Linked DNA regions of Danio rerio. The protein of the gene in region 5 purifies or fractionates together with the protein of the main gene of each other region. This does not show direct contact. Links are inferred from orthologs where the notes say so. Each region holds a gene or a part of one and is shown on either strand. Other genes may lie near its edges. The genes, in order: stk35l, pdik1l, kpna1, kpna2 and ctdspl2b.

Region 1 (6,963 bases), on a different chromosome or scaffold from region 5:
TATAGACTGCTAGAACAGAGTTGTTTTAGTGGAATTTGATATTGTACACCGTATGGGAAAAAACCTCCGCATTTCACGATGCAGGTGTCTGTGATCCTTCCCCGACTCGGTAGGTGCAGAGAATAGTGTCAAAAAGCTGTGTGTATATGCTATCCTGTAGCAAAATGCAGTGAAAATCCAACAGAATGGTAATAGTTTAATAGCGGTGTTTACATGTTTGTACTGAACTTTAATAATGCAACTAAAATCGGTGTACTCCACATCTTAATTCAATTTCTGTTTAGATCGATTATGATGCTCTATGTCTTAATCGTATTAAAATCAGTTTATTGGTGTCCATGTAAACATACTCAGTGTTGAACATATTGGTGAAACAAAATGCTCTCTACAATAAGAATGTCATTTCCCTAAATATCCACAAGCCTGGCTGAAACAAATAAAGAGATCAAAGGAAATGACTGAAATTTAATGAAAGTAACTGCATCTTATTTTAATGCACCTGTAGTCAAAATCTACAGTTAAATGCACCAGTGCCTGCAGTTAAAGGAGTTCATCCACTATTTTTTTACTCTGAAAGGTGCATACCCAATATAAAAATTGATAATGCCAATGTAATCAAAATGTATTGCCATTGCATATTTAAAAAACATTAATAAAATGCCACTCCAACAAACTGTTACTTGGTTTTGGTCTTTCCATATTCAAGCAGAAAGAGTTGCTCATGCATGCCTGAAAATAGCAGCAAGGGGCGTTACAAATTTGGCCGTAAAGTAAACCAACTTGCTTTTACCAACTAGGAACTCAAAAATCACACACTGCACATATTTAAGTGTCAAAACAATATATTAAAGTGAGAGGGTATAAGCACCAAACAGAAGCAGAAACAAATGCAATAGATTTAAAAGACGACCTGCTTTGTCATCACTTTCAAAGGCTGGATTGCTGTGTGGAACCAGTTTGAGGCTGTTTACGGTTTCTTCCCAGAGGACCAAACTAGCTCCCATATGAACAGCAAATACTGACTTGTATCCCCTGATAAAAGCCAAAATGCCTTAGTGTAATTAATAAACACTGCACTGTGCTTTCAGGGGTTTTATTTTTATCCCTTTCCTGGTTCTGTTGAGCAAGCATTACCTGAATCTGCACATGCTGCTGTAAATAAAAACCATATTGTGAGACTCACAGGTATTACCAAAATCTAAAGAAGGTCTTATTGTAAAACTTCAAAACTTTCTAATGACGTAATTTGATGTTGTCATTTACATTGAAAAAATACTCAAGAACAAAAACACAATCAAACCATCACATCTCTTTTTGTTAAAGCACAAAATTATTCTGAAACAATATGAAATTCAGATTTTTAATATTGTCACCAAAATAAAATGGCTGCTTGTCTGCGAATTACCTCGCTTTACTATGTCAAGAGCACATGGAGCCAGAAAATCATAAATATTTTTGCCAATTGAACTTGATTTGTGTATTTATGAATTACATTTTTAATTCTCAAGTTGGATTAGTGTATTTATGAACCGCGTTTTGAAATTTATGAATTGGATTTGTGTATTTTTGAATCGTGGTTTGAATTCTCGAGTAGGATTTGTCTATTTATTCATCGCATTTTGAATTTACGAATTGGATTTGTGTATTTTTGAATCGTATTTTAAACTTACAAATTGGATTTTGTTGTGGATGCATGAAAACTTTGTAAATGTATTATTTTTGAGACTGATTTGGCTCCATAAGCACAGCGTAAAACTAGTTCATGAAATATGCATGATTATTGATTTGTTCTGTTGATGAAATCGTCCTCAAGATGCATTGTAACTTTGCGCTAAATTTCTTCCAATTTCACTTCAACTAAGGCCTTTTTCCGCCACCGTTTTCATATAAAGGGAGGGGGGGGGGATTTTCATTTACACAACAAAAAATATTTTGAATGCCTAAAGCGTACATTTTTAAAGACACATTTTAAAGTGTAATTTCTTAAAAACAAAGCAATTATTGTCTCTATTCAAACTACAAAAACGTGATTTTGTGATGATGGTGAGGTCATGTACTTATGATATGTATTACAAGTTCAGTCAAAAGGTATGTGCAAGTTCATGACAACTTGAACAACAAATAGCAGGCCACGGCACAGTATGTGTGCAGAATGTGTAGTGTTTCTAAATTTTTAGTGTTGATATGAACATAGGGTGGCCTTACAAATAAAAAGCAGCTAATTTTTGTTATTTGTTTGTGGATCTGTGGCCAGGGATTGCTGTGACAATATCGTCATCCATCTTAGTACATTGTTGTTTTGCTAACATAACCGTAAAGTTAAAGGAAACATTAATGTATATTTCTCAAAATATATATTTAATATAGAAATTTAGATAATTCTTATAAACATGCCTGTATATATGAACATGAAGACTATTCACGGTGTAATACCCACACAACAATAAACCATCCTTTTTCTACTTTCAGATCCACATAAACTAAATATAGACTTGTATTTGCTTGAGAGCTGTTGATCGTCTAGCATCACTTTGCATATCATTCAGTACACAAAGCTACATCACGTTGATGACTCAGGCATACATATGAAAGCAGTCAAACAAAGAGGCAATCCCAGCACATTAGGATTAACGAGGCCGGATTGGCCTGTATGAAAATCCCCACCGTCTTCTTTTTGGGTGTAAAATACGTGAACAGTTGTCATGTAAGTTCCTTCATTGTTTTAACAAGTCGACATGATTTGACCCCAAGACCAGCACCTCCCCCACTCCCAACCTCAGTTTCATAACCGAGAAAAGGCTGTGGGAGGAGGGCAAATCTGACCGACTTTCGCCTTGTTTACTTTTTATGTAAGAAATCTTAAATGTAGAACATAGACATGCGCGATACAAGCGTCCGGTGTCATAAGTGAGTCACTGCCAAACAATGGATCCTTGCTCGTTTTACCTCATATAACAATGCTAAATCACTATACATCGACGTTATGTCAATTTTAAATGCCCAATGTGTCATTTCGACCAAGCGAGAGAGCTGTCACTGACAAAAAACACTGTTTGAGCATGACAAAACCCACATACACTGTTGACCTTCTAGAACAATTGCAAAATAGCATTGCTTGAATGAACTAACACCCCTCACCTTTCAGCGAGGTCTCCACCAGCCTCAAATACTGCTTTGAACGCTTATTGCCATGGCTCATTTTCTGGGCCATCCCGTTTTTTTGGAGCACACACTCCTCCAGCTGCACCACGTTCTCGTGGCGCTTCTCCAGGCTGGTCAGAGCCCAGAACTCGGCCAGCGCCAGCTCCACATTCTCGGGCGCGTCACAGCGCAGCTTTTTCACTGCCACTTTCGCACCTGATTTACGGGCAATGGCTTCGTACACAACGCCATAGCTGCCCCTGCCAACTTCACGGAGCAAGCTGTACCGCGGAGCAATGATCCGCCTCTCCAGGCTGCCATGTTTGCCCATGTCCAGCTCGCCTGCCATTGTTTCATTCTCCTCGTCAATGTTGTCGACGCTGAGCGAGCGCAGGACACTCGCGCTTTCGGCTCGTTTGCCAGCTTTGCGCGTCCGGCGCCGCTCTCGGTCCTTTGCGTTCATCGCGCCTCCTCACGTTGTGTGCGTGCGTTGGCAAATATCTTCCGCGTTCATAGCTCCAGGGCTCGAGGAAGTTCAGCAGCGCTTAAATATTAGCTGACATCTGGTTTGTTTTCATACGGCGATTCAGCGACCGTCCTGCATCTGGTCCGAACGGAATGAATCTTGAATGAACTGAGAGAACTTGTCTGGATCGTCCCACTTCCCTGTTCGGTGGGGGGGGTCGATGACCCGCGAGGACACACGAGACACACGTTTCAAGTAAACGCCTCTTGTGGCTTGAGTTGTGTTGTTAAATTGGTGCTGAAGGAAATATAAGACACCGTGTGTTTTTAAATACATACAATTTGTTCATGTTAATTTCATCTAGGCTTTTTTTGAAAATGTGTTTAACGTTACGAGTGTTGTTTTGTAACATGACACTGAAACAGTTGTCACTTTTGCATTTAGCAGACACTATTCAAAGTGACATACAAATGAGAGCAACAGAAGCAAGCAAATTCTAAAAAGCAATAATATTCACGTGCAGAAGTGTTTTTTAAATAATTAAATGGATTTATTTAGATTTTGGATTGGAAATATTTAACTGAAGTCTATTTTTCTTTTTATTTACCTTGGACAAGGTGAAATGTGTATCACATCTGAAGGAGTGTAAGTGTAAATTTAGTCATAAATGGTTTATTGTCGGTAATAAGACAACGTTCTGATAAGTTTGTCTTTTGACGTTCTGTAAGAAAATGTTTTATTTAATGAGGGTATTATTTTCCCACTACAACTATGTTATGTGTACTTTATGATTGTTTATTGTTTTTTTTAATACATGTATTAATATATTTCTTTATTATTTACTATCACCATCATTGCTATTTTCTTGATATTTTTGCATCTCACTGTTGTGCTACTTATGCAAATAATGTTTTGTTAATATTAAAATAAAAAAGGTATTACATAAAAATAGCATTTAAATAAATCAAAAACAAATTAAGTGTGTATTTATAAAAATTTAAAAAAAGAATTACGTCATCTGTTTGGCCCTTCTAGCAATACTCAGCATGGGCTACATGCTGTGGTACATCAGTACATTGATTTCTAATTGTAGATTAATACTCGCTTTCCTTTTATGTTCACTTCAGGTTGTCAATGCATAAAACCCGTAAATACACGTAAACACGAAGACCGTTGTCACCCGTGGTGTGGTCCAGAATGGTTCAGTCCCTCCAGCATGAGCGAGCATGTGCTTCTACAGCTCAGCGCGCGCGCACACACACACGTGGCCGGACACGATGAGGAGCATCTGGGCTTCTGAAACACCCATCACCTGCCATCAAATATATTTGAAGTGAATCAGAACTTTCTTCTAAAGCGACCATTTTTTCACAGTCTCCTGTATGTAGGTTCAGTAATTTCACTGTTATAGCAAAGAATAGGTTTCTTTTATTGTTTTTAAAGTGAAATAACTAAACATAAACATAGGAAAACGCTAATTTTAGAGGAAAACTTAAGACAGCACTCAGAGGTTTTTGTATGTGAACTCTTCTTTTACAGCTTTGGAAAAAAGGCGGCTATTTTAGAATTGTCAAGTTTTTCTTATTTATGATTTATAGTAAAACATATCTTTGTTTATTCTGCCTTCCAAAATTGAAATAAAACCAGCATTTAAGGCATTTATTAGTTTTAAAATAATAAAAAGCGCCATGTTTTAAGACATATTCATATACATTTTATATCATATAATATTATATATCAATAGATTCTTGTTTTGAAGTATAAAGAAATCATCTTTTGGTGGCATTACCATGACGGTTGGCATGAAAATATGTAGCCTATAATTAAAGTCAATTGTATCTTTCATAATTTTTTATATCATACATGTATAATATTGTGTATTTTTTATTTCAATTCAAGGTTATTTGTATAATGCTTTTACAATAATTATCATTTTAAGCAGCTTTATGAAATGTTCATGTTATTACATTAAATCAGAAAGGGTGGTTAGTAGTTTTTTTTTTTTTTTTTTCTTCAGTTGACATGGAATTGAACCAAATTTAGGTAAAAACCCAAACATTACAAAGATAAAGATATTACAAAAAAAGTTATCTGAAATAATAATGCAATCACACAAGAAGAAAGTACTGAACTACTCAGCATTTACTTATATTAAAGTCTTTTTTGATGATGCAGCTTAAAGATGCCTCATAGAGGTCACGTGCATTGTTCAGATGTGAGTTTTTACACCGACTTCATCAGTGTAAAAATCTTGATGGTTCTGTGGATCTCGTCTATCTTTATTTTGCATTTTCTATTGGATTCAAGTCAGGTGATTGGCTGGGCCATTCTACAGCTTGATATTTTTTCTCTGAAATCATTTCAGAGTTTCCTTGGTTGGTTGTGATTTGGATGATTGTCTTGCTGAAATGACCACCTTGGTTTCATCTTCATCATCCTGATAATGTTGATGTTGGACTAAAGCAATAATTTGCAATGAGGAAGGGCAGAGGGTTGGTGAATAACTACTGGGAGATTTCAGCTACAGTCTGGGCTTTCTCTGTCTTTCTACACATCCATTTTTTCTTGTGTTCAATATTTTTTTCCTGTGTCATTTCATTTTACTACACATTACTTAATTAGTAAATTAATTAACATTGTTTTCTTTGCTATGTGAATTTTTTGGTTGTTACCAACATCTGGTAAAAATTTCAAGCCAACAGCACCTTTAGAAAATATGTTATCTGAGAAAAATGGTGACGTGTTGAACACTTATTTCCCCCCAGTATATAGTGTTGCTTCCAAAAATGTGATTTCTATGTGTATAATACATGTTCACCTTTATAGACTAAAACCTAAATACACAATTATTAATCCAGTAAATACAGAGAAAATGTGTGAAAAAGAGTTTTTGAGAATCTAATCTAGACAATTTAATTTCTAAATTTGCTAATTAATGTCTCTTTATTTTACTTTACTATTAAAAAGTAATGGTGTAATAATGGTGTAAATGTTATAATTTGTAAACAGTGAGTGAGAATCAATCCATTGTGTACAGTATCAGAAGACTAAGCTTCACAGAGAAAGGATATAAGCTTTCAGATATTATTGAACAGGATTTACATGGCTTACATAAGATGACAGCATTACGAAGTGGCAGCTGTTGCTTCTCACGATCTTCTTTACAATAACAAACACTGTCTCATGTCTTATAAATTAATAAATTCCGCAAACATTTAAACTATTTAGTATCTGAACCTAACTGTGATTTAATTTCAAAAAGACTGTCCTAATGAGACCTCCTCAGTGACCTCATATGCCATCATTCATCCACATTCACGGGCTGGCATGAGGTCATGTCTGAAATCTTTGCCAGT
Region 2 (7,099 bases), on a different chromosome or scaffold from region 5:
GTTGTATGCAGATGGCATTTAAATACATTTAAGAAAGTATATGTAAGATTTTTTTTTTATATATCTAAACTATCTTTAAAACTAGTAATAAAGAATCTAGGATTTTTATTTGATGAAAATAGAAATTAGACAAATGAATTCAGTAATCATTGCAACGATTACTTTTTAAAAACTTTTCTTTCCCTAAGTGATTTGGAAAAGGTGACCTATACTTATCTATTTATTACTTCCAGTGTACGCTCTGTACTGCTACAACCATGATATAGCAGCAAAGTTTCTTAATTATTACACCAGAATGTGAGTAAAGTTCCTAGCCATATTGGCTTAGAAAACAGCAACCTTTCTTTTTTTTCGTCGATCTGAATAAATGATGGAACTTCAGAAGTGTCAAAATTGAAATAGAAAAGTTATCTAAACTCATTGATCAAAACGCTGAGAGTCTACTCTGATTCAATAAGCTAAGCTAAAAGTGCTCCCATCAAACCAGGCAAGGTCTCCAGCGGTTTTGAAAAGTCATGTTTTTTGAAAACGCTAGCCTTTTCTGCTATATCATTCCTAGGGTACGAGTAAGATTTTATTTACTTTTTAGGACGACAGTATCTCCAGCAGAAAGATCTCCAAAGATGTCATTTTAAATTAATTAAAATAAATCAGTGTCTTTGAAACTAATGAAGACAGCAGAAGTCGATTTATTTAGACCTGACATGTTAACTGCTCTAACATATTTTATATGTTTCTCAAAATAAAATAAATTGTGTTCAAAGGGCAAAAAAAGTTTTAGTTTTTTTACCCAAACATTTAAACATGATATATTTTAGAGCAGTATTTACATTACCATGAAACCATGATATTTTTTATCCATGGTTATCATATCGTCACAATCTTTTACCGGTCCATGCCTTCACCAGACCCAGAGTTTGTCAGACTGGATCTAAAAACACTAAAAATCAACTGCTTAACTGTAGGCCAGTTGAAACAAGAAATCATGTTTTTTTTTTTTTTTTTTTAAAGTTCATTGTTTTTTTAAAGTCAAAATGCTTGCGCATTGATTTTTTTTTTTGTCTAAAACTGACTCAAATAAATTAGTAAAATGTCTATTATCGGTTAATTTTAGTATGATCATTAAATACATAATATTTAGCAAAAAATAAAAATATTATTGTAATACTCATCAGTCATCAACATCGCATATTATCCCATATTGTGCAACCCTACTACTTAGAGCACATAAAAGCTTAACAATACATTGCTACTTCATCAATGTTGTGCAAGTTTAAAAGAATGAATTTCACTAGACAAGTCATTTATATGATCCTTACACAATACTGCTTAGTTAAGAACAACAAATGAAAACACTGTCATTCCCAGCAAAAAAGAAGACCAGCTGCATCATTGTGGAACAAAGATCAGGTTAAAAGGCTTTTCATTCCACAAAACCACCAAATATTACCAGTTTTACTGTAGTAATACTATCTAGAACAGGGGTGTCCAACCCAAATCAGATACACCTGGACCAGCAAATCAAGCTCTTACTAGGTTTTTTAGTAACATCCGAGCAGCTGTGTTGAGGCAAGTTGGAGCTAAAATCTGCAGGACCCCGGCCCACCAGGATCCACTTTGGACACCCCTGATCTAGATCCCCTGGCAGAAATCTGGGATCTAGTCATAAAACTTTAGTGCAATAGTCTCAAACTCAATTCCTGGAGGCTCGCAGGAAAAAAAAAACTGTTCAGAGATGTGGCCGTCCAGGAATCGAGTTTGAGATCTTTGCTTTAACGCATAAGTGTCAAACTCAATTCCTGGAGGGCCAAAGCCCTGCACAGTTTAGTTCCAACCCTGCTTCAACACACTTACCTGTAGGTTTCAAACAAGCCTGAAGGACTCGATTAGTTTGATCAGGTGTGTTTAATTAGGGTTGGAACTAAACTGTGCAGAGCTGCGCCTCTGCACACAGGCACAGAGCTGCACCTCTACACTCAGTTCCTTTTGGAACTGAGTTTGACACCTGTGCTTTAACGTATTATAAACTTATTGAAGAAGGTAAATTAGAAAAGCACAACAATTAACTGCATTTCTGTTAAATATTAGTTATGTGCACTTTTAATACTAAATGTCCTTAGATTTTCATTTGTCATCCCAAATGTAACAAATTTCTGCTACTTTTTATTCAACAATGACGGATATGCACACAGATTTTCCATTTCAGTCGGCCAGCCCCAGGGCTTCAGGTTAATTGTCATCCCATACAAAAATCGCAGTATTTGATGATTTCTTTGAAAAAAAAAACTGTGATCTTTACTGCCTGGTTGAGATACGATATAAAATGGCTATCAGACCAAACAAGAAGCACTGCATTAAATTATATTTTTCTGCACCATGTCTTTGAAATATGTAAATTAATTTTACCCCAGTATATCACATAAAGCTTTCACCGCAAGTTTGAAAAACACTAATTGTGCACATAGCCTATTAACATCTGGATCTCAACTCACACTCTTGCTACAATTAACTACTGTCAATTTTTAATTTATAAGAGACAAAACTTGATTTAATAATAATAATAATTAATTATTATTATTATTATTATTATTATTATTATTATTATTATTACTAAAAATATTATTATTTTTAATACTACTCGTGCAGTATCCAGTCTAGGTCTCAACATTACACAGAATTCAAATGATGAAGTTAAATTTTTTTAAAGGACCATCTCATTGTCAAATAAAATAAACACTAATAAATTTGATTTCTAGATTCCCTGTAACGTATCATTTTCTTTCCCGTGTTGACAAGAAAGTAGGGAGGAACATATTGAACGATCACGCTCTTTAACCATGATTTAAAAAGTTCATTTATGTAGTGAAGAGTTGTATCTAGGGGGAGGGGCATTACATTCAAAAAGCCATTTGATTGGACAAAAAGCGTAAAGATAATGCCACAAACTCAAATTTTGAATTTAGCATTTCTACTGAGATGTTTTCAGAAACATAAAAGCTTCAAACATGTACAAATACACAGCGTAAAAGATTCTTCAAAAGGGGTTTCACGAACAGGAGGTCTTGAAACATTTTAAAATGCCGTTAGCGTAAATGGTAAACAAACGCGACTGCGCTGCCAACACGTGTGTGCGGAAGCTGCTTGACATGAGGAAACAGCGATCAAAGGGCAAAGGAAACATTGCACACTCACTGTTTTAACTGCTAGATTAGGAACAACGAAGCGCATGAGCAGAAATCGCAGGAATACAATCGCGTGTTGTGTTTGTAATGCAGTCATGTGCTTTTGCGGTGTTAAAGGCCTGTTGGTTTTGTCCGATTCGGCCACAGCGCCGCTGTTTTCCGCTCTCCAGCTGTATATCACTGTCCAGCTTTAACAGTACACGTTGCAATAGCCCGCAACACGACAGGAGATATGCACAGTGCTTATACGTTGTTGTGACATTAACAATAAAGGTAGATTTCGTTACCAAGCCTCCCAGGAACAACACATGCACCTGCGCAGCAGCTCGACACACATGCTCAGACAAAGAGTCCCACTGCAACCACACACACAAACACGAGAAACATTTACCTGTGCACGAATCCTATTCCCAATGTAACCGATTTTCCTCAGCTGTGCTTTTCCTGGCAGCCATTATAAGCGCGAGGCCGCCGCACACACTCCTCGACTCTCGCTTTCTCTTTTCTCGCAGCTGTGTGTGTATGTATGTTCGTGAGCGCGTGCCCGTGCGCGCACTTGCATTTTTTGTATGTCGCGTCCGCGTCGAAGATTCCTCAAGCGCGCACACTTTGACTGTCTTATAACATTGGGAAGTGCAGCTAAAGTGAGAAACACCGCCCTCTCTCTTTCTCTAACAACACATCAACCGTATTCTGTCATTCACATCACACTCAGAGCAATTTTACCATGGTAACGGTAGTTACTGCCAAGATACTGCTAGGCCTTTAACAATTATTATAAATATAAAATGTTGTCTCAGTCATGTCATCTCAGAAAGATGACAGTATATCCTCAAGGCTATACTAAATTAAATTATATTACTGCTTTACAAGTGATAAAACGCATGTATGGCATTTGAGTTTTTGGAATAAAAAGATTTGTATTAAAATAATTTGTGTATAATATTCCTTTTAGACAATTTGTGTATAATATTCCATTTTTTGTGCCCCCTCAGTTTTCATAAAAAAGATTAGTGCCGTCAAAACTGAAATTCTGTCATTAATGACTAACAGTCCTGCCAACCTTTAAAAGACAAACATAGAAATTAGATAAAATGAAAAGCAAAAGAAAATTGTGAAATTAAAGCAGTAATCCAGAGATCTGGTAATTGGTTTCATCATTTATCAGCCTGCACTATTAACTAATTAATTATGTATTTATTTATGCCGTGATTTGTGGATTTATTTATTTATTTATTTATTTATTTATTCATTTGCATATTTAATGCGTCAAGCCAGGGTGCAACAGTGCAGGTCTCCAGCCGCCAGATCTTAAACCGAAGTCCTTCTTGTTAAAAAAGCGACCACGCTAACCACTGAGCTTTTATAGAGTCAACACTGCCAATACGATGCCTGGAAGACAGGATTATTGAATCCTTAAAATTCCTGCATAAATAAATATAGAAACAACTGATAGTGTGGACTAATACATAATGAAATAAATTACAACAATGTTGGACAAATAGCAATATATAGAAAAGAAGTCAGAAAGAGGATGTCTGTCAATCTTCAGATGCCAGTCCAAAAAATACAATGCAAAATTGTTTTATCCATTAACCAATGATGGCATAAAGACCATACTCTAATCTTTTCAGTTTAGCATTTTCTTATTCCCCGAACATTGGTGTAATTGATTTCATCATTTATCAGCCTGCTCTATTAACTAATTAATTATGTATTTATTAATGCCGGGATTTGTGGATTTATTCATTTATTTATTTATTAATTCATTTGCGTATTTAATTATTGTTTTATTTATGCAGGGATTTATGGATAGATTAATCAATTTTCTTTCTGGCTTAGTCCGTTTATTAATGAGGGGTCACCACAGCAGAATGAGCCGCCAGCTTAATATCCAGCCACTGTTTTACACAGCGGATGCACTTCCAGCTGCAACCCATCACTAACAAACATATTCACACACCTGTCTTTGGATTTGTGGGGAAACCTACGCAAACATGGGGAGAACATGCAAAGTCCACTTTGCCAATCTTAGGTCAATTTATATAGGTTGTTTTGGTTCAATTTGTAATTTGCCTAGCTGTGCAGAGCCTGGGGAACAAGCAGACTAGCTCCAGCTTGGCCTCCGCTGGTCCAAAGAGGCGCAGACTGTGTTTTATGTTGCCGATAGGGGCGCTGTTTATTCTCGACGATGCGCAACATTTTCAACTGCCGTCTAGACTGCAAACATAGACTCTACACAGCTCTTCGAGCAACGTCCTGTCATTTTCCTTGTTTACATCATTGTTTATTTGTATTTTTAAGCCGCTTTAAAGGGCAAAGTGTGCTTCCCACAATGCATTGCGGTACTGAAAAACCAATCAAGGGCATTGCTGTGTTCCAGACTTTCTGCATGGAATTCATGAAGAGAAGGCCAAATAACACAGTGTACTCGGACGAGGGAGTGTGATGCAGGCATAAAACTTGCCGAATTTCACCTCATGTTGGCCGTTTGATTTACAGGCAATCTGCCTAATCACAACGCCACTATGTTTTCCCCACGCCCGAGGACCATGAAGAGACCCAGGAAAGCAAACGATTAAAGCGGCGGTCACACTGGGCTTTTTCTCCCATAGAGTTCCATTCATGCGCACACGAATGCGTCAGACCGGAAATGCAGGGTCCTGCGTTAAGTTTCACAGGTTGCTGCGTCGCAAAGTTCAAGCTTAGTGAACTCTTAGCTGCGAAATCGCATCACTTGACTGCGTGAGACCAATCGACTCGAGGATCAAAACATGGACACAACCTCTCTGGACAGAAATTTAAAACAATGAGCAATCGCTTGCTTTTTTAAATGTCTTATAAGCTTGTTTAATCCTTGGGGTAATGCGGAACGAGTAGGCTACAGGATGGGAGGAAAAACTGAAAAAAAAAAGTGCAAATCTGTGATTTTTGTTCGGATACATAGGATCTATTCTCGCTGCTAAACTAGACCAAAACAGTCATTATTTCATCAAAAATATATAATATATTTTTAAAATGTTTATATAAAATATACCGGGATTTGACTGACATGAAAAGTGATCAATTACAGTCGACCTTGTCTAGTTTTGCATGAAACGTAAGGGCGGGAAAAAGGCCTTTCTGTGTTACAGTGGCAGAAAATAACAACTTAAAAGCAACTGTTTTATTGGAATAATGCTTTTCGGGTGTTTTTACTATAAAGATGTATTTACTATAAAGTAATTAAACTGAGATTTTGGGAGGAAGATTTACTTCCTGCCTTTTTGACGATCTACGTTTGGCTCTCTTCTATCCGACTGTGAGTATACTCTCCTCTGACCTGTCACTCTTCTGAAGCCTTGTTTAAAACAGTTTGAATGTCGGTGCGGGAATGCAGGTATTGCACAATTATTGATTTCTGCAAATGTCGAGAGTGCTTTATTTTAACACGGAGCGCAGTCATGTACGCTAATTCTGAATATGCAAGTTCTTGAATAGGCTTTTTCAAATGAAGTGCAAGTCCTCTCATGATCTCATCACCGTGTGTGTGTGCTCAGACTATATACAATCGCGATCTCTTAGAAGTAGAAATCATTTATCTTTGCTCCTTGACTAAACTTAGTCAAAAACTATCAAGTATTTAGAATTAGATCGATGCATGACCGGTGACAATGCTAACTGACTTATTTGGCTGTATTAGCCTACCAGAACTTTTAGCAAAGGTGGAATTTTTTTAAATTTCTTTATGACAAAAGAGTTATGCTTGAAATGTTTTTGGATGAGGTATTTATGTGATTTATAAATAATAGTGGTATTCTGATCTGTCTTAAAGGGGTGGTCCACTACAATATCATATTTTAAACTTTAGTTGATGTGTAATGTAGCTGTGTGAACATAAACAGCATCTCTGAATGTAAAATTCTCAAAGTTCAATG
Region 3 (7,088 bases), on a different chromosome or scaffold from region 5:
ACACCAACTGAGCCAAGGCTCGAACCAGTGACCTTCTTGCTGTGTGGCGACAGCACTACCTACTGCACCACTGCTTCGCCCTAGTTCAGGAAAGATGAAGACCAAATTTAATTTCATTGTACCTTGTAATTTTTTAGGACTGTCAACAATCTACAAAGTAAAAGGATGTAAGAGGATGATAGTAGCAGTGGTGACATTATCTGTTTGTACAAATCCCTGTCATTAGCCTACTGATTGATAGTCCTATATTTTTTCTAAATTTTTCTGGTGTAAAAATTGATAGTTTATAACTTTGTGGTAAATTATTATGGTATGCTTTTATATTTTAGATGTAAGGTAGACATATAACTTTTAATAAATACTCTATACTTTTTTCCCTGATGAAACTCATACAGACGTTTATGTGTGGTTTGTCTGACAGCAGGTGTGATATTTAATATTTGAATATACACTGTAAATCCCAACTGTCAACGAGTGTTGAATGAGTTCATTAAATACCTCATTACTTTAACTTAAATGGAGTAAGTTCATAGTATTCATATAGATCAGTTTTTTAAATGAAATGGTTTGTTGCAATCGGTTTCTTCAAATTGTTTGAGTTCCCTTAACTTATTGGGTTTTACAGTGTGTGTGTGTGTGTGTGTGTGTGTGTGTGTGTGTGTGTGTGTGTGTGTGTGTGTATACATAAACTATATATATATATATATATATATATATATATATATATATATATATATAATTCTGACTTCAACTGTATATATTTTAAACTCTTTATTTTCATTGAAAAAAAAAATACATACACACAGTACCGCCTATATCCGTACAAGAAAGAGATGATCCATATCAAAAATCTCTTGGAAAGACTTTCACAGTGAATTTGGCTCACAACAAAAAGGAACTCAAAACCCTACATCCCACCCATCTAACATTGATCAAAATGTTTGTAGAAAGTTAGCAAAAAATAAAATAAAAGTCATGCATGAATAACATTTACAATCATATTATGGAACTGGCTAGGACAAAAAAATAAATACAATTGAAGCAATAGGTGTACATAGACAATTAGACCAAAAGATACATTCATTCATTTTCTTTTTGGCTTAGTCCCTATATTAATCAGGGGTCCCCACAACAGAATGAACCGCCAACTTTTCCAGCACATGTTTTAGGCAGCGGAGCACCAGGAGGAAACCCGCGCGAACACGGGGAGAACATGCAAACTCCACACAGAAAAGCCAACTGGCCTAGCTGGGGCTGGAACCAGCGACCTTTTTGCTGTGAGGCGATTACCAAAAGATAAATTCTAAAATAATTATAAGATAATTATAAAGTAAATAATGAAATTAAATAAACAAATAAATTACCATACAACAGTCTTGTAAAAGTCTATATCAGTTCAGTCTATCTAAAAAAATATTATGAATGGTTCCCAAATCTTGTTACAACTGGACAATCTGTCATTTAGTGTGAATCTCTGTTCTCCTAAGTGTAACATATTTCCAAGCTTTCTAGCCCACATTTCAAAGGTGGGGACAGTTTCAGATTTTCACATTTGTAAAATGAGTTTTTTTAAATAATATTATCTTCGTATATTACCTTTTTTATGTAAGACTTAAAAGGAGAAAAACACTGAAAGCATCATATGGTGCGGATGAAAAGATTAAATGTTGCCAGATTTTGATGGAAAAACATGCCTACAAAAACACTTATACAAAAATACAAAAACAACATTCAAAGTGACTCAATAAAAACAAAAAGAGAGTAATAAACCAACATTGTTAAATAATTTTACAAAAGGAGTGATTATGTAAGAATAAAGGAAAAGTGATATGATGATAATACATGAACAAAAGGATTTACTGTATTTATAAATTACTGTTCACATATATTTCTTTATACAAATAATAAAAATACATATGTGTATATGATGGAGGCGCAGTGGGTAGCGATGTCACCTCACAGCAAGAAGGTTCGAGGTCAGTTGGCATTTCTGTGTTGGCATATTGCTGCGTAAGTTGGCAGTTTATTCTGCTGTGGTGACCCTGATTAAGAAAGAGACTAAGCTGAAAAGAAAACGAATGAATGTGTATATGATAACAATTCATTCAGCCATGGCACATTGGCTGAGGCTAGCATGGTTGCCTCACCACAAGAAGGTTGCTTGTTTGAGTTGCTATTTCTGTGTGGCTATTTCTGTGTTTGCTCGAGTTTTCCCCAGGTGCTCCGGTTTCCCCCACAGTCCAAAGATGTAGGTGAAGTTATAGGCAAACTGAATCAACTAAATTGGCTAAATGTGTGTGAATGGGAGAGTCTGTGGTTGTTTCCCAGCATTGAGTGTTGTACTTTCAGTGCTAAGTTGCAGCTGGAAAGGCATACAGCCATCCACTGTGTAAAACAACTGAGTAAACAAATAAGTAAGATGAGATGTAGATATTCAATTTAAATTATATATGATTGGCCTATACAAAATAAATAGATAAAAATGACGTTCATATGAATAAATAAATGTACTTAATAATAATAATAAAATATTATTATTATTTTCATTCATTTATCCATTCATTTTCTTTCTGGCTTAAAAAAAAACATACTCACACTCATTCACACACACACACACTCATACACTGCGGACAACTTAACCTACCAAATTCACCTGTACCGCATGTCTTTGGACTGTGGAGGAAACTGGAGCACCTAGAGGAAACCCACGCAAACGCAGGGAGAACATGCAAACTCCACACAGAAACACCAACTGACCAAGCTGAGGCTTGAACCAGCGACCCAGCAACCTTCTTGCTGTGAGGCGAAAGCAATTATTATTATTATTAATAATCATAAAAATAATAATAATAATAGATTTATCAGGAGTCACCACAGCGAAATGAACTGCCAATTATTTTGGCATATGCTTTATGATTTGTATGAATGCTACAAAATGAGTTATGTGATATAAAAGGTATCTACATAGATAATTTATTATAAGCTATGTATTTGTTTTTAAATATATGTATATAAGCTTATAATGTTTACTTATAAAGCGCGGAGATGGCAACACTGTTCGTTACACAGAACTGGCAACACCGAGAAGCAGACATGCGCTTCGCACACGATGTCCTCTCACAATGCGCATGTGCAGTGTCACTATACCGGCGGAGGCTGAACGGTTGCAGCTTAAACGACGCAGGGATAAACGAGGCCGTTTTGACAGGTCAGTACGCCAGTGTGGATAACTTGTGTCTGTCTGGTTTTATTCCGTCTACATGATGTCAAATTCAAAAGATTATAATGTTAAAACACAGATAAAAGGCGTTAGTCGGACAACCTTGTTGGCTGGGTTAGCAGATAAGCTAACAGAGGCTGCTGCGCAGATCTGGGAGGGGGAGGCGAGTCCGCTGTTAAGACGATATTACTAACAAACCTGCTCTTCAGTCGATGATCACTAGCTCGTGTGGAGCAAAAATGACATTTTGTTAACTTGAATCGATCGTTTCCGCTTCTGTGATGCGATGATCGGTGAGATTGGTGCGTTTGGCGGCTGTTTTTAGGTGTGGATGGTTTGATGGGTCGATCCTCTTCACTGCGGGCTCTAGCACCACTGCCCAAAACACACTGACAGATCCATGCAGCCTCTGTTTTATATTGTTTTTAGTAGTTTGAGACTAAATGTCACAGGTACACTGGCTAGAGATAAATAAATAATAAATGTTATCGTCCGTGGTGGTTGTTTAGCTCAAGCTTTGCGTTTAATCCTTATCTTTTATGAAATATTTTTATCAAAAATAGTGTCAAAGCATTTAGAAATTTGCCTGACATGTTGAAAACCGTCTGATAAACAAACAAAATAAAATCATAGACTAAATTTATAAATAGAAAAAATATATATAGTTTAGAAAAAAAAAGTCTTAACAAACATTTTTACCATGATTTAAAGAAGACACCAAACTGTTTACATGCCAGAAATCATGTCAGACACATTTAAAGCAGTAGTCTTTTGACGATGTATTAGAAGACTGTATGTAAGGATAACAGTGCAGTCCTAAAATAGAAAACATTGCCACAACTACTACTAATAAATAAGAAACATAAATAGTTTGAAGATATTGGGCCAAAGCACCACTGTTGAACAGGGTAGAAATAGCTAAACCAGTGAATAATAATTAATACATATCACCATACTTCCTCAATATTGTTAATTGTTTTATGATCCATTAGGTGTCTGAAATGTTCAGGTTTCATATTAAAGCAAGGTCCTGTCGAACTCAAAATGGGCTGATGTACTTAAATTTAAACATACAATTTTGAGCACTGGTTAATTTTTGTTTCATATTATTGGCATATGCAAAAGGGATTTTGAATGTCTTATTTTATCACTCTGTTGATAAAGTATGTTTGTCAGATTTCACCATATTAGCATAAAATTTAGAAATAAAAGGTTTTGTGGGCATCTTTCAATGACATAATAAAACCCAATTTAAGGATTACAGTGAAGCAAAAAATAATAATTCATTTACATTTCAAACTTTTTTCTTTCTTTTTTACAGATTTATCAGCAAGACAATTGTAATAATTTAAAATAGAATAATGTTAGTATTAGGGCTGCACAATATATCGTTTCGATCAATATTGCAATGTGATCATTCGCAATAGTCATATCGCAGGATATGCAATGTTGTTGTAGTTTGTATTAAAATGTATCATTTGCACATGTTTTGTTTATGCCTGTGATTGTATAATGTCTTCAAAAGCATTCAGCTATAAGAAATTGCACAATTTGTGACCTTAACTACGATTATTTTTATTGAAGTTTGTTGATTGTATTAATAGATTGTTATGAATAAAAATACTCACAAGTGCATATACAGAAATGCACTGCAAATAGCACAGACCACAACAAAAATGTGTCTGGGTAGGTACCCTAAAAATGTAAAGATTGTTTATTTGATTTTATAGGGATGCAAATAGTAAAAATTAATTCATCATTAATACTCACAACACAGCACATGCAAATACAGAAATTGTTTATACAGAAACTGTTTATATGCTCTCCCACTACAGAATCATCCCAATCGATCTAACATTATAAATTCTTGACAAAAATAAAGATATTAAGTCATCTGGGAAAATTTCATTTATATGGCAAAATCAAAAAAATATTGCATTGTTAGATTTTTCCAATATTGTGCATATATATATATATATATATATATATATATATATATATATATATATATATATATATATATATATATATATTTAATTGTGAATAATATAAAAGTAATGTGAAGAAAAAGCTAAAAACTTGAAATGAAATTAAAAGAAAATTCAATGTATTTATTTTCTAAATGCATCTTATGTTCCTAATTGTGAATAGTTAATCTCTGGATAGGTTTCTCTTAAAATGTTTACTTTTCTCAATGTTATTTAACAAGGTATATTAAAATGTCATAACAGGACCTTTCAGTAAGGTTGCTGTCAGATTAGTTTTGTCACTAATGCAGGATGTAAAAATTTGTGTGTATGTGTGTCTCCACTGCCTATGGAAACAAGTGACATTAAATGATCTTTTCAAGAGGTCTGTGATCTAGCAGAGATCAAGCAAGTATTTTAATAAGTCTTGATGATTTTTCTATTGTGCTCATCTTGCTTTGATCGTCTCTTTACAGCAGACAACATCATGAGTCAAGGGAAGGACAATGCACGTCTCAAAAGCTATAAAAACAAATCGCTCAACACAGATGAGATGAGGAGGAGGAGGGAGGAAGAAGGCCTGCAACTTCGAAAACAAAAGAAAGATGAACAAGTAAGTCAAGTGGAGATAAGAGTGACTTGTTTTTCTGTTTTATTTGACTCTTGTGGTTTTACTAATAAAGATATTATTAAACTAGCCTTAAATTTATAGGAAGGATGGAATGAACTTTGAGACAATATAATGAAAAGAAATTTTTGTCTTTTTGAAAAAAAGTTTCTCACCAATCTGAATTTGTTTGATTAAAATTTATAAAAGTGTATTGTATATAGTGTAAAGTATTATATTCACTATTAACTATTACTGGGCTAGCATAAAATCATATTGTATCATATTTTTGTCATATTTAATGTTTTTAAATATTTTATTATTATTATTATTATTATTATTAGAAAAGTACATTCTACTGGACAACAATATTTCTGTTTCAATTTCATCAATTGAAGCTTTCATTTTGAAGAGTCGTGAAGATGCATGAGTGCTTGATTGTAAATAAAAAAATAAAATATATATTGAAAAATAAAATATATTTAAATAAAATTGCAAGTAAAGTGCACTCTTAAGAGAAGCTTTGGGGATAAAGTTTCAACTTTGACAAATTTGAACGTTCTTATAGCTGTTCAAGCGCAGAAATGTGGCCACAGTGGAGGAGGATGGAGCACTGGAAGATGATGGGATGTCTGACAGCGGATACCTGGAATCACAGGCCAACAATATGGACCAAATCACGGTAGTACAGCAAAAATGAAGGCTAGTCTTAGCTTTTTACTTACTGATGAAAAATTAATTGCCTTTTTTTGTTTTTCCATCGTTAAAGGGAAGTGTTATTTCTGAAGACATGATACAGATGATCTTCTCCAGCTCTCCAGAACAACAGCTCATAGGAACACAGCGCTTCAGAAAGCTCTTATCTAAAGGTGAAATACCCCAAAGACTAAAAATCAAGCATTTACATAATCAAATTAGTGCTAAATTATGCTAATTCTGTCTTTGTAACCCTCCATTAGAGCCTAATCCCCCTATTGATGAGGTTATTGCCACCCCTGGTGTCGTGGAGCGATTTGTTGAGTTCCTGAAAAGAAGAGAGAACTGCACACTACAGGTGATGGATATTTAAGGAATATTAAAATCCCAAGAGATTTTATATATTTCTTTTCTTTGGAAATATTAAAACAGTATGTTGCATCAAGAGAGAAAGACACATTATTTATGTAAGGTATTAAAAAGACAGCAGCCTAAGAAAGAAAATAAAAACTCTTTTGGAACTGTTCTGACTTTTGTTTTGTGAACTGAATCGTTTTCATTCCAAGAGCATGTAAAAAAAGTCAAAAACTCATTGCTG
Region 4 (5,091 bases), on a different chromosome or scaffold from region 5:
AAGTAAATGCATTTACTAAGTAAAACTTTAAATGCACAGACAGAAAGTTTGTGATGTTTCCTTAATTTATGCGACTAGAAAATTGGATTAATCAGTTCTTTCAGTCAATCTGAAATAACGAAGCCAAAGTGAGTCATAACTGTGTGTGGGTCAGAGGGGATTATACCAAATAATATTGTAACTAAATATCAGAACAAAACATCATTATCACTAGTCATTTTGCAAGATTAGCATCCAGAGATTTAGAGTAGTCGGGCCAATTACATCAACCTCACCAGTTAACAGTTTAATTGTATTTTTTGTTATTCCAGTCAAACTAAAAGAAACAAGACTTCCCTTTATATTTTTTCCTCAGTAGGATGCATTTAAAAAATAAAAAATATGCCCTTGTCTGTTAAACATCACTTAGAAAATATTTTAAAAAATAAATAAAATTCACAGGAGGGCAAATAAATTGGTCTGTAAATGCACACATGACAGAAGAGCTACTGAACACACAAGTGGCAACATGTGACAAACTTCTTAGAGAAAAATTTAATAAAATCTGATTCACTCCTTATTTTGAGATGTAGCAGTCGAGATGAAAATCATCTATACTTGGTTTCAATAAGATCAATAAAACTCATTTACCCTCAACTTAAAATTGACTCATACCAAAAAGATATTTGTGATGGCATCTAAGATGACCAGAATAGTTTTGCTGTCCTTAGTGGAGAGCAGGTTCAACAAGGGCTCCAATACGTTGGCTTGAACTAGGTAAACCACTTGCTCTACTGTGCCCCCGCTGGTATAATTGGTCACTGCCCAAACAGCCTCCTTCTGGGTCTTGTAATCACCCTGCATGAGGCAAGAGAGAGAAAAAATTAAGTTGAAAATAAATTAACTTCATGAACAAGTATTGTATTGTGTTCATGTGGTGACATACTCGTCTGAGAACTTCCACCAGGTACGGCACAATGCCAGCATTGATGACCTCCTGAATCTGATAGTCTCTGCCAGCCGTGATGTTGGAGAGAGTCCAGGACGCCTCCTTCTGAATGTTGCTCTTTTGGTGGCGCAACAGAGCTGGGAACATGGGAAGAGCACCAGCCTCCAGCACAGCCTGCGTTTGTTCATCTGTGCCAGTGACAATGTTACCAATAGAACGTAGTGAGGGGGTCTGTGGCAGGAAAAAATAAAAAAGTTATTATTAAATTTACCATTTTAAACGTATAACTCAAGAGTTCACTACTTTCCACCAACTTACCACAATGGACAGCTCCCCAGATGCCAGTAGCTGCACCAGTCGAGGAACCACACCGGCGTTCACCACAACCTCAATGCGATCATTGGGCCCGTCGGTCAGGTAAGAGATGGCCCAGCAGGTGTCCGCAAGCACTTCTTTGTCACTGTGCTGCAGAAGGCAGATGAGTGTGGGTAGTATCTGTTTCACAGCCTCCAGAGGTGGTGCAGGGTTCTTATTGCGGCACAGGTTTGACAAGGTCCATGTGACGTTCCTCAGGTAACCAGCCTGTAGAAGAAAAACTGGCTGGTCAGGGTAATTCTACACAGCTTTCACGCCATCTAGCGGTAATGCATGCTCACTACAGTTTAAAACAAATAGTCCTGAACACCAAAAACAACATTGTTTGAGGTTTAGAGATAATACATGTAAAAACCTTTATTTTAATTTTTTTTAGCTAATAATTTTAAATACGTTTTATGCAATACACCTTTCAAGAACCCATGATCACTGTACAACAAATATACACAATTCAATAATTTAAAAATAAACCCACAGTATATTTAAAAAAAAAAAAAAAAAAAAAAAAGAGAAGATTATAAAATACAAATAGCCAAATAGCTTTGGCAGAGGGAACAGAGTGTATGGAGGAGAAGGATCTAAGGGAGCAGAAATGAGTGATGATATGGAAGAGATCAGACAAATAAGCTGGTGTGAGGTTATGGATAGCCTTAAAAAGTATGCAGGACGATTTTATAATCGACTCTAGGTTGGATTGGAAGCCAGTGCAGATTTTGTAAAATGGGGGTAATATGGTGAAAAAGAGTTTAGTGATGATGTGGGCAGCTGAGTTCTGGACCAGTAGAAGCTTATAGACGGATTAAAAAAAAATGTAATACATTAATAGGTTTTCTAAATGTAAATTTATAGGGAGAATGTTACAAGTTGCAATTAGCAATTTGTAGTCATCAAATTTGTAAAAAAAAAAAAAAAAAAAAAAACACAATTATTTTATTTTACAATCATATGTGCGCCCATAGGCGTTCTGATCTAAAAAAAGATGGCGTGTTGAGGTGCATTGCTATTTTGAGAAACTATAATAGTCGGTTCTATAGACCTGAACAAAGCCGGTCTATTGTCCAGCAGAGCACGTTAGTTGTGCGCCTCGCTTACACACTGCTTAATACACACAAAATGTAGAGCAATACGCAAAAATCTTTACATATGAAAAATTAAAATATAATACATATTAAGGATTAAAAATATTACAAAAGATTATTTTCAAGCCTAAATTAATATAAAAACTATACTTTCATGCCTTCATCCCGGGAGGCTTTTTCAGTTCATTCATGACAATTTGCTAATGTATAATGTATTATTTTTAGCAGTATTATATGCATATTTATATTTGCTTAATTAAAAACGAGCTTAGATTTGCCCACCTGTCAGGTTTCAGACCATATGGGAGTAGCATGTGTATTAGGATATAACTCAGGTTTTTGAACACACTTCGTTATTATTGTTCATTTATTTGTTTGCTGGAAATTAGAACAGATTTTAGAAATAGTTTTAAAACTAATCTTTGCGCTTAAACTAAATTAATTACTTATAGGCTAATTGATGTCGGTGCGTATGACACGTTTCCCTATCCACAAACGTGAAAGTTAATAAGGAGGCTCATTTCTCATTCTCGCGCTGTAGATGCTCTGTTTAACTGTTTTCTTGCTAGTGAAACGCTCAGTTTTTCCACTTACGTCATGTAAATAGCAAATGCGCTATGGTGCGATGCAACGCACTGTTAAAGGGAATGAGAGATGAGACTCTGATTGGTTTATTCTCAAAACACATCTATAACTCATTAATAAAATAAGCTGAACCCTTTCAGACCATGCGCCATGGCGCAAAGCGGATTTTTTCCCTCATTATTTAAGAAAAAGTGGATTCTGACATGCCCTAATGCGTTTGCACCCTGCGCATGGATTGTGAAAAGAGCCCAAGGTTTAAAGTAAATCTTAAGTGTATACCTTTATAATAAATTTAATATAATAATAATAATATCTATTAAGCTTAGAGTGTAAATAAACAAGAACAAAACTAATTAAACCGATAATTTTTATTATTTGCTTGAGAATCAGGTCAAAAACATTTGATAATTACGGAGGACAAGAATTGTAATTAAATAGTGAAAGGCAAATTCCAAATGTTTCAGAATTTGTGCATGAAAATATAATGAATTTGTCTGGGGTTTTCTTACATTTTCATGCGCAAATTCTGAAACATTCGGAATTTGCCTTTCACTATTTAATTACAAATGTTGTCCTCACTAATTATCAAATGTTTTTGATACTTAATTATCTGAGGAATAGTTATTTTTAAAACTTCTTAAAAAGTCATAAAAAGACAAATTTTTGCGATATTCAATCTGTAAATTGGTCTAAATCAGCTTCACATTATTTGGTATAATAATAATAATAATAATAATAATAATAATAATAACAACAACAACAATATTTTAACCAACTTAGATTGTAATATTGCAATAAATACATTTCTCAAAATTATTTTTACCAAATTACAATGGACACCCATCTGAGAATAACTTTAAAACCAATTTAAATCCATCTATATAAATAACTTACAGGAAACACAGACAAATCAGGAACAGCCAGCAGAGCCAAGAGGGGGGGGATTGCACCATGCTTAATGACTCTATCCCTATACCCAGAACCATCACCTACACACACACAAACACAAAAAGAACAAATCAATTTGTACACCCACATTAAAAAGAAAATTAAGGGATCTAACTGAAATATTCTACTTAGCACCCACCAGCGATGTTTCCAAGAGCCCAAACTGCCTGCTCGCTAATATGAGCATGTGGTGACGAGATGAGGCTGATGAATGCTGGGATTGCCCCTCCCTGGACCACGGCGCTGGTCTGGTCAGATGTTCCAGATGCAATGTTGGTCAGAGCCCAGGCCGCCTCAAACTGTATAGGAGGAGAGTCTACCAGGCTCAGGAAGCCCACGAACTTAGGAATCAGACCAGCACTGATTATGCGGTCAATAGGTGGATGTCTCTCTCTTGACAGCAACTTCCTGCATGTCAGTGTAAGAAATGAAGCTTAAATACAAGTTGAGATGAATAGAGCTATCTGCACATGTATAAGCAATCTACTGGGAATTACCTGGCAGCTTGTGTGGCCTGGACTTGAGTCTCCAAGTTATTACTATTCACACCATTTACAATCTCCTCCACTGTCCAGTGCTGTGCCTGTATGAACAGAATGGAGATTTTATGAGGTGTAACATTGAAGGCAAGACCTTACAGGCAAAAAAAAAAAAAACGAAAAAAAAAAAAAAAACGCACATCTCAATATTGCAAGTTTGGTCCTTTGGCCTTTCATATTACATTTTTTAGGGTATCAGAAGGAAATCCAAAACACTTTAGGGTTTATTTTAGCACGTTATCAACACATGTCTGTAGATTTAAAATTGCAATACATTTCTAAAGTATTTTCCCCCATCCAGGACAAAGCCATGGATATCCATTCCAGCAGCACTTGCATATGCCAAACTTGTGCATATGCATCAACTATCTTCTTGTGCCTCATGTACTTTTGTAAAATACTTTACTAATTTTAAAGTTTATTTTATTTTATTTTTTTTACAGTGAGAAGCACTTATACAAAATTTGACATATACATATTTACTCAAAAAATAAAATTACAAGTATTAAAAATATCTAGCGGTTTTGGTGTATTTTCTGAATTAATGCGTCAGAAAAACAAAAGTTGAAACTAACTTTTGAACCTGAACCAGTGTTTACATTTTTGCTGTAGAGATACATGCAAAAAGTGTATTTTT
Region 5 (6,942 bases):
AAGAGAGTACATCAGCTATATTTATACTATACAGTCATTGTTCGAAACACCTGGTCACATGACTAAAGCGATTCAAAGCATCGCACATTTCAGAAGCGTTTTGAGACCTGGCGAATCTGCGTTTGACTGACAGAGTCAGAAAAAGTTTCTGTCTCAAATAGTCTAGTGGACCGTGCATGTGCACGATGTTAGAGTGCTTCAAATGGCTTTTAGGTTCGAATCCCGACTTGTACAAATACTCCGAAATCATGATTTTCTGTATTTTAATAATGTTACTGTTTTATGGTGTAGTTTTAATCACTGTAAAACAATAATTAATATTTTTACTGTACTGTGATGGTTGGGTTTAGGGTTTGTGTAGACGTTAATAAAATACAATTAATGGGAAATTTAATAAATAGTATAAATAATTCTTGTTAACTTCCGGCTACAACCGTGTCTGATTTAGCAACAATCCTGTTTTATGACCAAAACAAGACATATTTGTTCACAAAGTTTTCATTCAGATGTCAGACCAATGTCGAAACAAAATGATGCAAGAACAAAGCACTATTTTCTAAACAAATGTGCATGTCTGTGTTTATCATTCCATCGAATTAAACACAAATAAGACACATACAGTATACTCCGTGTATTTGAAGAAGCAGTCAATGCTTGAAATTAGGCTATGGGTCACCTTTAAACTTAAATAGGCTTTTAATAACGGATATAAATGAAAGATAAATAACAAAAGCAAAAGAGAATCTTGCAGGAGTGCTGTCTCAAATGATCAATGATTGTGTAATACCGCAACACCTTTTATTTCAAAACATTTGAGCTGGTTTCAGCGCTTAGTTCTTTAATTTTCTTTTTCATTTGTTTCATTTTTAAAAATTAACAAAAAATAAAAAAGGTAATGTAATTGTAAAAATAATGAAATATTAAGTTGGTAATATAATTCAATAATAATTTCAACTCATTAGACATGGGAGAAAAAGTAAAACACCATGTGAAAAATAAAAATATGGATTTACAGATGTTTCAGTAAAATACATATATATTTTTTTTATTCTGTAAACTATGCCATTTATTTCAATTTAAAGATAAAAATGCCATTTAAAGATGATTGTTCTTGCATAAAATAATAAGAATTTTATGTCTCGCACATGTTTAATTTCATTTAGACAACACGATGCCAATGTTTTAACCAGAAGAGCTAAACAAATCTGGATTAACTCAGATTTTTGATCACAGCAGTTTGTTATACATCATTTGCTAAGGTGAGCAATTATTAATAATAATAATGATGTCACGCAAATGACAAAGATTATTTTTAAAAATGTTAATGAACAGGGTAATACAATTTTTTTTATTTACTCAAATGAATCCAAAGGCAGTAAATCCAGAGAAACAAAGTTGTCACCTGGTCTCTTTATTTTAAATAGCTGTACATATATAACAACATCATATATGGCGTTAAAATGTACGTATTGTATCAATATGCTAACAACGTTTATGAAACGGAATGCTAACATTTTATGTAAATGTTATAAAAATACACCAGGAAAAAAAACATTTAAGCAAAATAAAAATATAACATCATAAAAGAGTGATAGTTTAATGATTAACTACTAAAGAGACCGTGAATATAGTGAAAGTCCCTGGCTTATAGATTGTATCATTTAGAGGCCACTAGTTAATTTCCCTTCTTATAAAGTATTGTATTAATGAATGCCTCCTTTTGGAATGTCCTCATAGCACGTGATGGAATCTGAAATGTAATGGTACTGAAATTCATTTAATTCAGGAATCTACACAGCCATAGTTCTTCGTAGCGGTACTATTGCCATGACAACCAAAACGTGCCTCCCTTCTCGAGTCATCATACCGCAGGCAGGCGCTCGCTCTATTTCAGTCAACTGACGGTGATGAGCTCTGCATAAATAAATCTGATATTCATGCTGGCACGCAGTTAATACTTTAGTCTGTTACTTTTGTTTTATTATTACCAACATCAAACAAATTAATCTACACTTCCCGGTTAAAAATACATCTTTGTTACCTCAGTTTCCATGCTAAATAGCCGACAGTAACTTCAGAAATGCTCTGCGCTGTGTGTTTGTTTTGGTTGTGCGTGATTCTCGCTATTGTGTTGTGAATTTTAAACAGACACTGTACGCTGAACATGTCGCACTGCGAAGCCTCGATATTGTTTTGATACTCGGAACAAGAGAAAGGGGGTGTGGGACGCGCGCCGCAGGACGCATGCTCGGCTCGCTCCTCTCTTCATCCGGGTACCTGCCGTTGACTGTGTGGGTACGGAGGCGGGAAATGGCGTCCAGAGGTGCGGGGAGGACAGAGGTGAACCTCAACTGAAGAGGCACGCAAACAACCGCAAGTGACAACAGCCCGAAAATCGACTTTTATCCCGCAACTCGATCCCCAGGAGCTTTGTGCAGTAAGTTATATTACCACTATTATGTTTTGCATGTGGTGATTGGGTTCCCCCATAATATCTCGTCCGTTCGCTCCGGTTGGAAATGTTTCGCTGTGGTTCGCCTCGCCACTGTATTCGCCCGGACAGGCAGCTGCCGTGGTTCCCGCGCTTTCTCTGTCATCATTAGAACGCTGCCGGTTGTTTTGAGTGGCGCGAGAAGCTGCTTCAAGTAATAGCGGGTCACGAGAGGCAGGTCTCCTACGGAGAGAAAGCCTGCATGTGTCCTACATTGAAGACAGACATGCACAGATGTGTCAGGACCGTTTACTGTATGTAAAAATACATCTCACGTTTTCGGCTCGTGGGCAGTGATTGTGTAAATCATTATTATTAACGTCTGACCTAAACGGGCAAATCGAGGGAAAGTTGCTCGTCTTCCGTACATAATGTGTTTGGCGTGTGTTTCCCGCCCACCGCGACACTGTGTTCAGTTTTCACAGCGACTGAACTTCATTTCTGAAGTGTCTGATGAGGTTGTTTGGTTATCTTGGTGCTGCGCTTATTGTCTTTTGTTTTCCACCTTTTGGAGTTATTGACTAGTTATTTGACTGTAGGACAGTGGTTCACAAGCATTGTCACTCCAAAGGTCCCCATTGTCAAGTCAGTATTGAAGGCCCCCGCACAGAGCCAGATTTTACAACTATATATATTTATTTTTAGAAACTGTTAATAGATAATGAAAATAGAGTAATAATCTCAAGATTTGTGTATGTTTTAAACATAGGAAGCTGGATTTAAACTACTAGGCTGTAGTATAAAAATTCAGATTTTATAACCAATATTTGATTAACTTTCTGCTCATCTATCTTATGATTTTGTAAAAGACAAAATGGTAAGTTCAACCACTTTTGGACAGCTGACCACAGTTTTCAAGTGGAGTATTGAAAAAAGCACTGTTCAAATACAATTGTCTATATGAAGGTTCAGCAATGTGCTGAAAAAAAATCAGAAAATTCCTGAACTGCAAACTACACAGCTTTAAAAAATGGGTTTTGATTAAATAATGTTAAATTGGAGTGGTTGTTTTTTTGGTCAATAATAATATCTTGTTATTATTTACATAATAATAAAATATTTTTGGTACCAAAATGTGAATGTACTAAAACAAATTAAACAACTTAAATGAATTAATGCAAGCTAAAAAAAGTCTGATAATGTAAAAATGTCGGCTAATTTTAATTTTAATGATAAATAATGATATGTAAATATTATCAAAACAACTCTAATACAGTAAAAAATCACCTTCAAAAATGCTTGTAATGTAACAGACATTTTGTTGGTTTATTGAGGCCCTGGTTTGTTTGGGTTTCCAAAGTTTTTTTAGAGAACATCTAAGTTTAAAGAAAGAAGTTGTCTGAATTTGTTTGGTGGCTTGATGCAGCTCACCTAATCAAACATTTAGGATAGTTCATTTTGTCTTGTAAACACCTTTGACCTCCCATTGGTCCATGACCATTACGCAATCAGTGGGTGTGTTCTAGAACTCTGTCTTCTTTGATCCTCAATTTATTCCCCCTGAATTGTTTCTCATTCTACAGAGGTCAAACAGAACAACAGCCAAAATGTCAACATTAGCTACTTGAATACGTAGGAGTCGAGTAGCAGAGCTGGTACAGATGTATCTACACCTGTAAGATCGCTCGCAGGGGGGATTTTTAAGATTCTGAGCGTGTCATACACCAGATGAGAAGCCCAACTCTATGCACCATGTCTTTTTTTATGTGTTTGCACTAGGCATGGGTCGGTATAAGATTATGACAGTATGGTAACCTAGGATAAAAATACCAAAGTTTCACGGTATTGTGATTACTGCTCTATAATATATTATTTTTAAATGTCTAGGTAAAAAAAACTTTTTTTTGCCGTTGAAAACTGTAAATTCTATTTTTTGAAAGATTTATGATATTTTGGAGCAGTAAACATGTCAGGCTAAATAATTAAAATGAATCATTGAATCATTCATTTGTTTCAAAAACGCTGATTTCTTTACAATTTAAAACGGCATCTTTGGAGATCTTTTTTTTACTGGAGATACAAAAGAAAAAGAGCGTTTTGAAAAACAAAAAATGTAAATAAAAAAATCTTACACATACCTTAGGGAACGGTATTACAGAAAGTTTGGCTGTAAATAAACCTTGACTTTTCCAAACTGCGGTATACCCTGACAGAGATTATTGTCCCATGCCATTCGATGTCTGTCCTTGAAAACTGTAAAGATGCAATAGGCCATGGTGTTTCTTTTCGTTGTAGAGGTGTTTATGAAACTGTTCTTTTCTCTCAGACACCATCATTGTGTTTAGAGTAAACATCCAAGTAGTGCGACACATTTACAACCACACCTACTGCAGTGTAGGGGTCTTGGAGTGTTTGAAAACAGTATACTATTACTCAGCCTTTTCAATCCTCTGTTTGCCATCAAACGAAGAACCAAAAACAATTTGTCTGAAGTAGACCTGAGCCTGACATGGATTCTAACGATATGATAACCTTGGATAAAAATATCACGGTTTCATTGTATTGTGGTTGCTGCTCTAAAATAAGTTCTTTTTAAATGTCTAGGTAAAAAACTAAAACTTTTGAGAAACATTTATAATATTTTGGAGCAGTAAACATGTCAGGCTGAATAATTTAAATCAAATATTGACTTCTGCTGTCATCATTGGTTTCAAATACTAATATCTTTTCTACTGGAGATACTCTTGTCCTTTAAAACAACAACAAAAAAAGTAATTAATAAATCTTTTATATACCATAGGAACGCTATAACAGAAAATTTTGGTGGTTTTAAAACCTTGGCTTTTCCAAACTGCGGTATACCTTGAAAATGGTTATCGTCTCATGCCTAGTCAAAAGCATACTGGGGCCTTTAGAAGTTCACCAGTTATTGCCATCAGACCAGGTTGATTTAAAAATGGCTCTGGATGAGTTGTTTGCCTGACATGCAATGGGACAGATAACTTGTAAAGTGTCTGTGAATATTTTTTAGTGGTGTTTTTTTTTTTGACATACACTGAGTGAACCCCAAATTATTCAGCATTGCATTTTCTGGTTTATAATGTGCTTTGAGTGTATAGTTGTAGATTGCACAGAGATATTAGTCATTTTAATAAATTCCAGCATCAAACTGAGAAGACACAAGTAGCTTCAGGGATCAGTTTTTGGAAAGCTATCAGTGTCCTTGAATTTACTGCTAGTCTGTCAAGGCACATTTTTATTTTACACTTACATTGTTTATTGTATAATATTTTATTTAATAGTTGCCAAAATCAGATATTTTCCTGCTGATGAGACTGTTTATGTCTGCTTGTGTGATTTTTAAACTTGGAGTTTGCCTATTAAGAAGCCTCATTGGATCTCGCTGTGTTGTTTAAGGCTGTTGAATCTCGCTCTGCTTCAGTTCTTGCTGTAGAAAGACTGTAGCTCCTCAGTGTTGTGAGGTAGCTGTCTTGGCATGATGTCTGTTCGAGGCAGTGGATGAGTCACCATTTGTGGTGGTTAAGGAAAAAGCTGAGATGTATTACCAGCTGTAGCCTTTCTCTCTCTACTTTTCACCATTCCTTCTCTTCTCTAACATGCTTCCATGCAGAAAGTCTTGTTATTCTTGCTGCTTCTCTCTAGCTAATAACACACTGCAGCCTTTGCTGGGTGAGATCATTGTTCCTGTCCTAAAATGTAAAACCAAGAAATAGACATTTCTTATCATGGTCGGTGGAATTTTTTATGTGTGTGTGTGTGTGTTTAATGTATCTTGCATGTAATTACGGAGGCATTCCGGAGGGCTTGAAAATGTACAGCATTCTTCGCATTTTGTTAGATCTACAAAAGTTACTGGGAATCTGTTTTGAAAGACTAGAAAATGTGTAAAAAGAAGCTCAGAGTGGATGTGCATGCGAGTTAGATTTCTTTATGGTGAGTTTTGGGAAGAAACGTACAGTCAAGGTTGACTTAATGCCTGTAGGGTCACAAAAGCTGGAGCACATTTGTGGTCGGTGTTACGTAAGCACACTTTCAGGAGGGGTACACATGACAGTGCTGGTAGTTAATTTCAGGATTACTTTTCCCCCCTTGATGTGCAGGGTTGTCTTTAAAAAAGAGAGGGATACTTCCTCCACATGAGGAAAACATTAAGTCATGCTTTTTTTTCTTTCTTTCTCTTTTTTTTTTACCCCTGTCCTTTTTTCTTCTCTGCTCACGGTTGATCTGTAGTACTATCCTCACCTTTTTTTCTTTTTTTGTGACTTTTTGTACAACTGAAAATAAGAGGCAAAAGAGACTGACATTTTGCTGGCTTTTGCCAAAGTTCAAGTAGGTTTTAAACAGATAGAGCAGCTAAAAATATCTGTTTGCCCGTTCATTTCCTTTCCTTTCCAAAATAGGTCCTATGATTTCTGCAATGTTGAAAATTCAGATGAGACAATCATAAAAACAGTCGATCAAATTTGACAGGATGAGTACATTTAAAGGTA

The links.
Region 1: the proteins of ctdspl2b (region 5) and stk35l purify together in Homo sapiens (affinity purification with mass spectrometry; 3 studies listed by BioGRID and IntAct, counting the BioPlex papers as one, with this or other methods). This does not show direct contact. The link is inferred for Danio rerio from reciprocal best matches to the Homo sapiens genes CTDSPL2 and STK35.
Region 2: the proteins of ctdspl2b (region 5) and pdik1l purify together in Homo sapiens (affinity purification with mass spectrometry; 4 studies listed by BioGRID and IntAct, counting the BioPlex papers as one, with this or other methods). This does not show direct contact. The link is inferred for Danio rerio from reciprocal best matches to the Homo sapiens genes CTDSPL2 and PDIK1L.
Region 3: the proteins of ctdspl2b (region 5) and kpna1 purify together in Homo sapiens (affinity purification with mass spectrometry; 3 studies listed by BioGRID and IntAct, with this or other methods). This does not show direct contact. The link is inferred for Danio rerio from reciprocal best matches to the Homo sapiens genes CTDSPL2 and KPNA1.
Region 4: the proteins of ctdspl2b (region 5) and kpna2 purify together in Homo sapiens (affinity purification with mass spectrometry; 4 studies listed by BioGRID and IntAct, with this or other methods). This does not show direct contact. The link is inferred for Danio rerio from reciprocal best matches to the Homo sapiens genes CTDSPL2 and KPNA2.

The regions. Positions count from the first base shown.
Region 1 is NC_133181.1:41,391,742-41,398,704, reverse strand, and holds the start of stk35l (serine/threonine kinase 35, like), read right to left. Parts: upstream 3,762-6,963; 5' UTR 3,605-3,761; coding exon 3,139-3,604; intron 1-3,138.
Region 2 is NC_133194.1:16,640,118-16,647,216, reverse strand, and holds the start of pdik1l (serine/threonine-protein kinase pdik1l), read right to left. Parts: upstream 3,750-7,099; 5' UTR 3,574-3,749; intron 1-3,573.
Region 3 is NC_133199.1:24,832,725-24,839,812, reverse strand, and holds the start of kpna1 (importin subunit alpha-5), read left to right. Parts: upstream 1-2,873; 5' UTR 2,874-3,045; coding exon 3,046-3,208; intron 3,209-5,663; coding exon 5,664-5,800; intron 5,801-6,362; coding exon 6,363-6,476; intron 6,477-6,563; coding exon 6,564-6,663; intron 6,664-6,753; coding exon 6,754-6,848; intron 6,849-7,088. UniProt on the Homo sapiens protein: Functions in nuclear protein import as an adapter protein for nuclear receptor KPNB1. Binds specifically and directly to substrates containing either a simple or bipartite NLS motif.
Region 4 is NC_133178.1:24,114,632-24,119,722, forward strand, and holds part of kpna2 (importin subunit alpha-1), read right to left. Parts: intron 4,499-5,091; coding exon 4,413-4,498; intron 4,324-4,412; coding exon 4,055-4,323; intron 3,957-4,054; coding exon 3,862-3,956; intron 1,511-3,861; coding exon 1,247-1,510; intron 1,160-1,246; coding exon 926-1,159; intron 838-925; coding exon 655-837; intron 1-654.
Region 5 is NC_133182.1:31,420,695-31,427,636, forward strand, and holds the start of ctdspl2b (CTD small phosphatase-like protein 2-B), read left to right. Parts: upstream 1-2,304; 5' UTR 2,305-2,437; exon of another isoform or gene 2,438-2,472; intron 2,473-6,942. UniProt on the Homo sapiens protein: Probable phosphatase.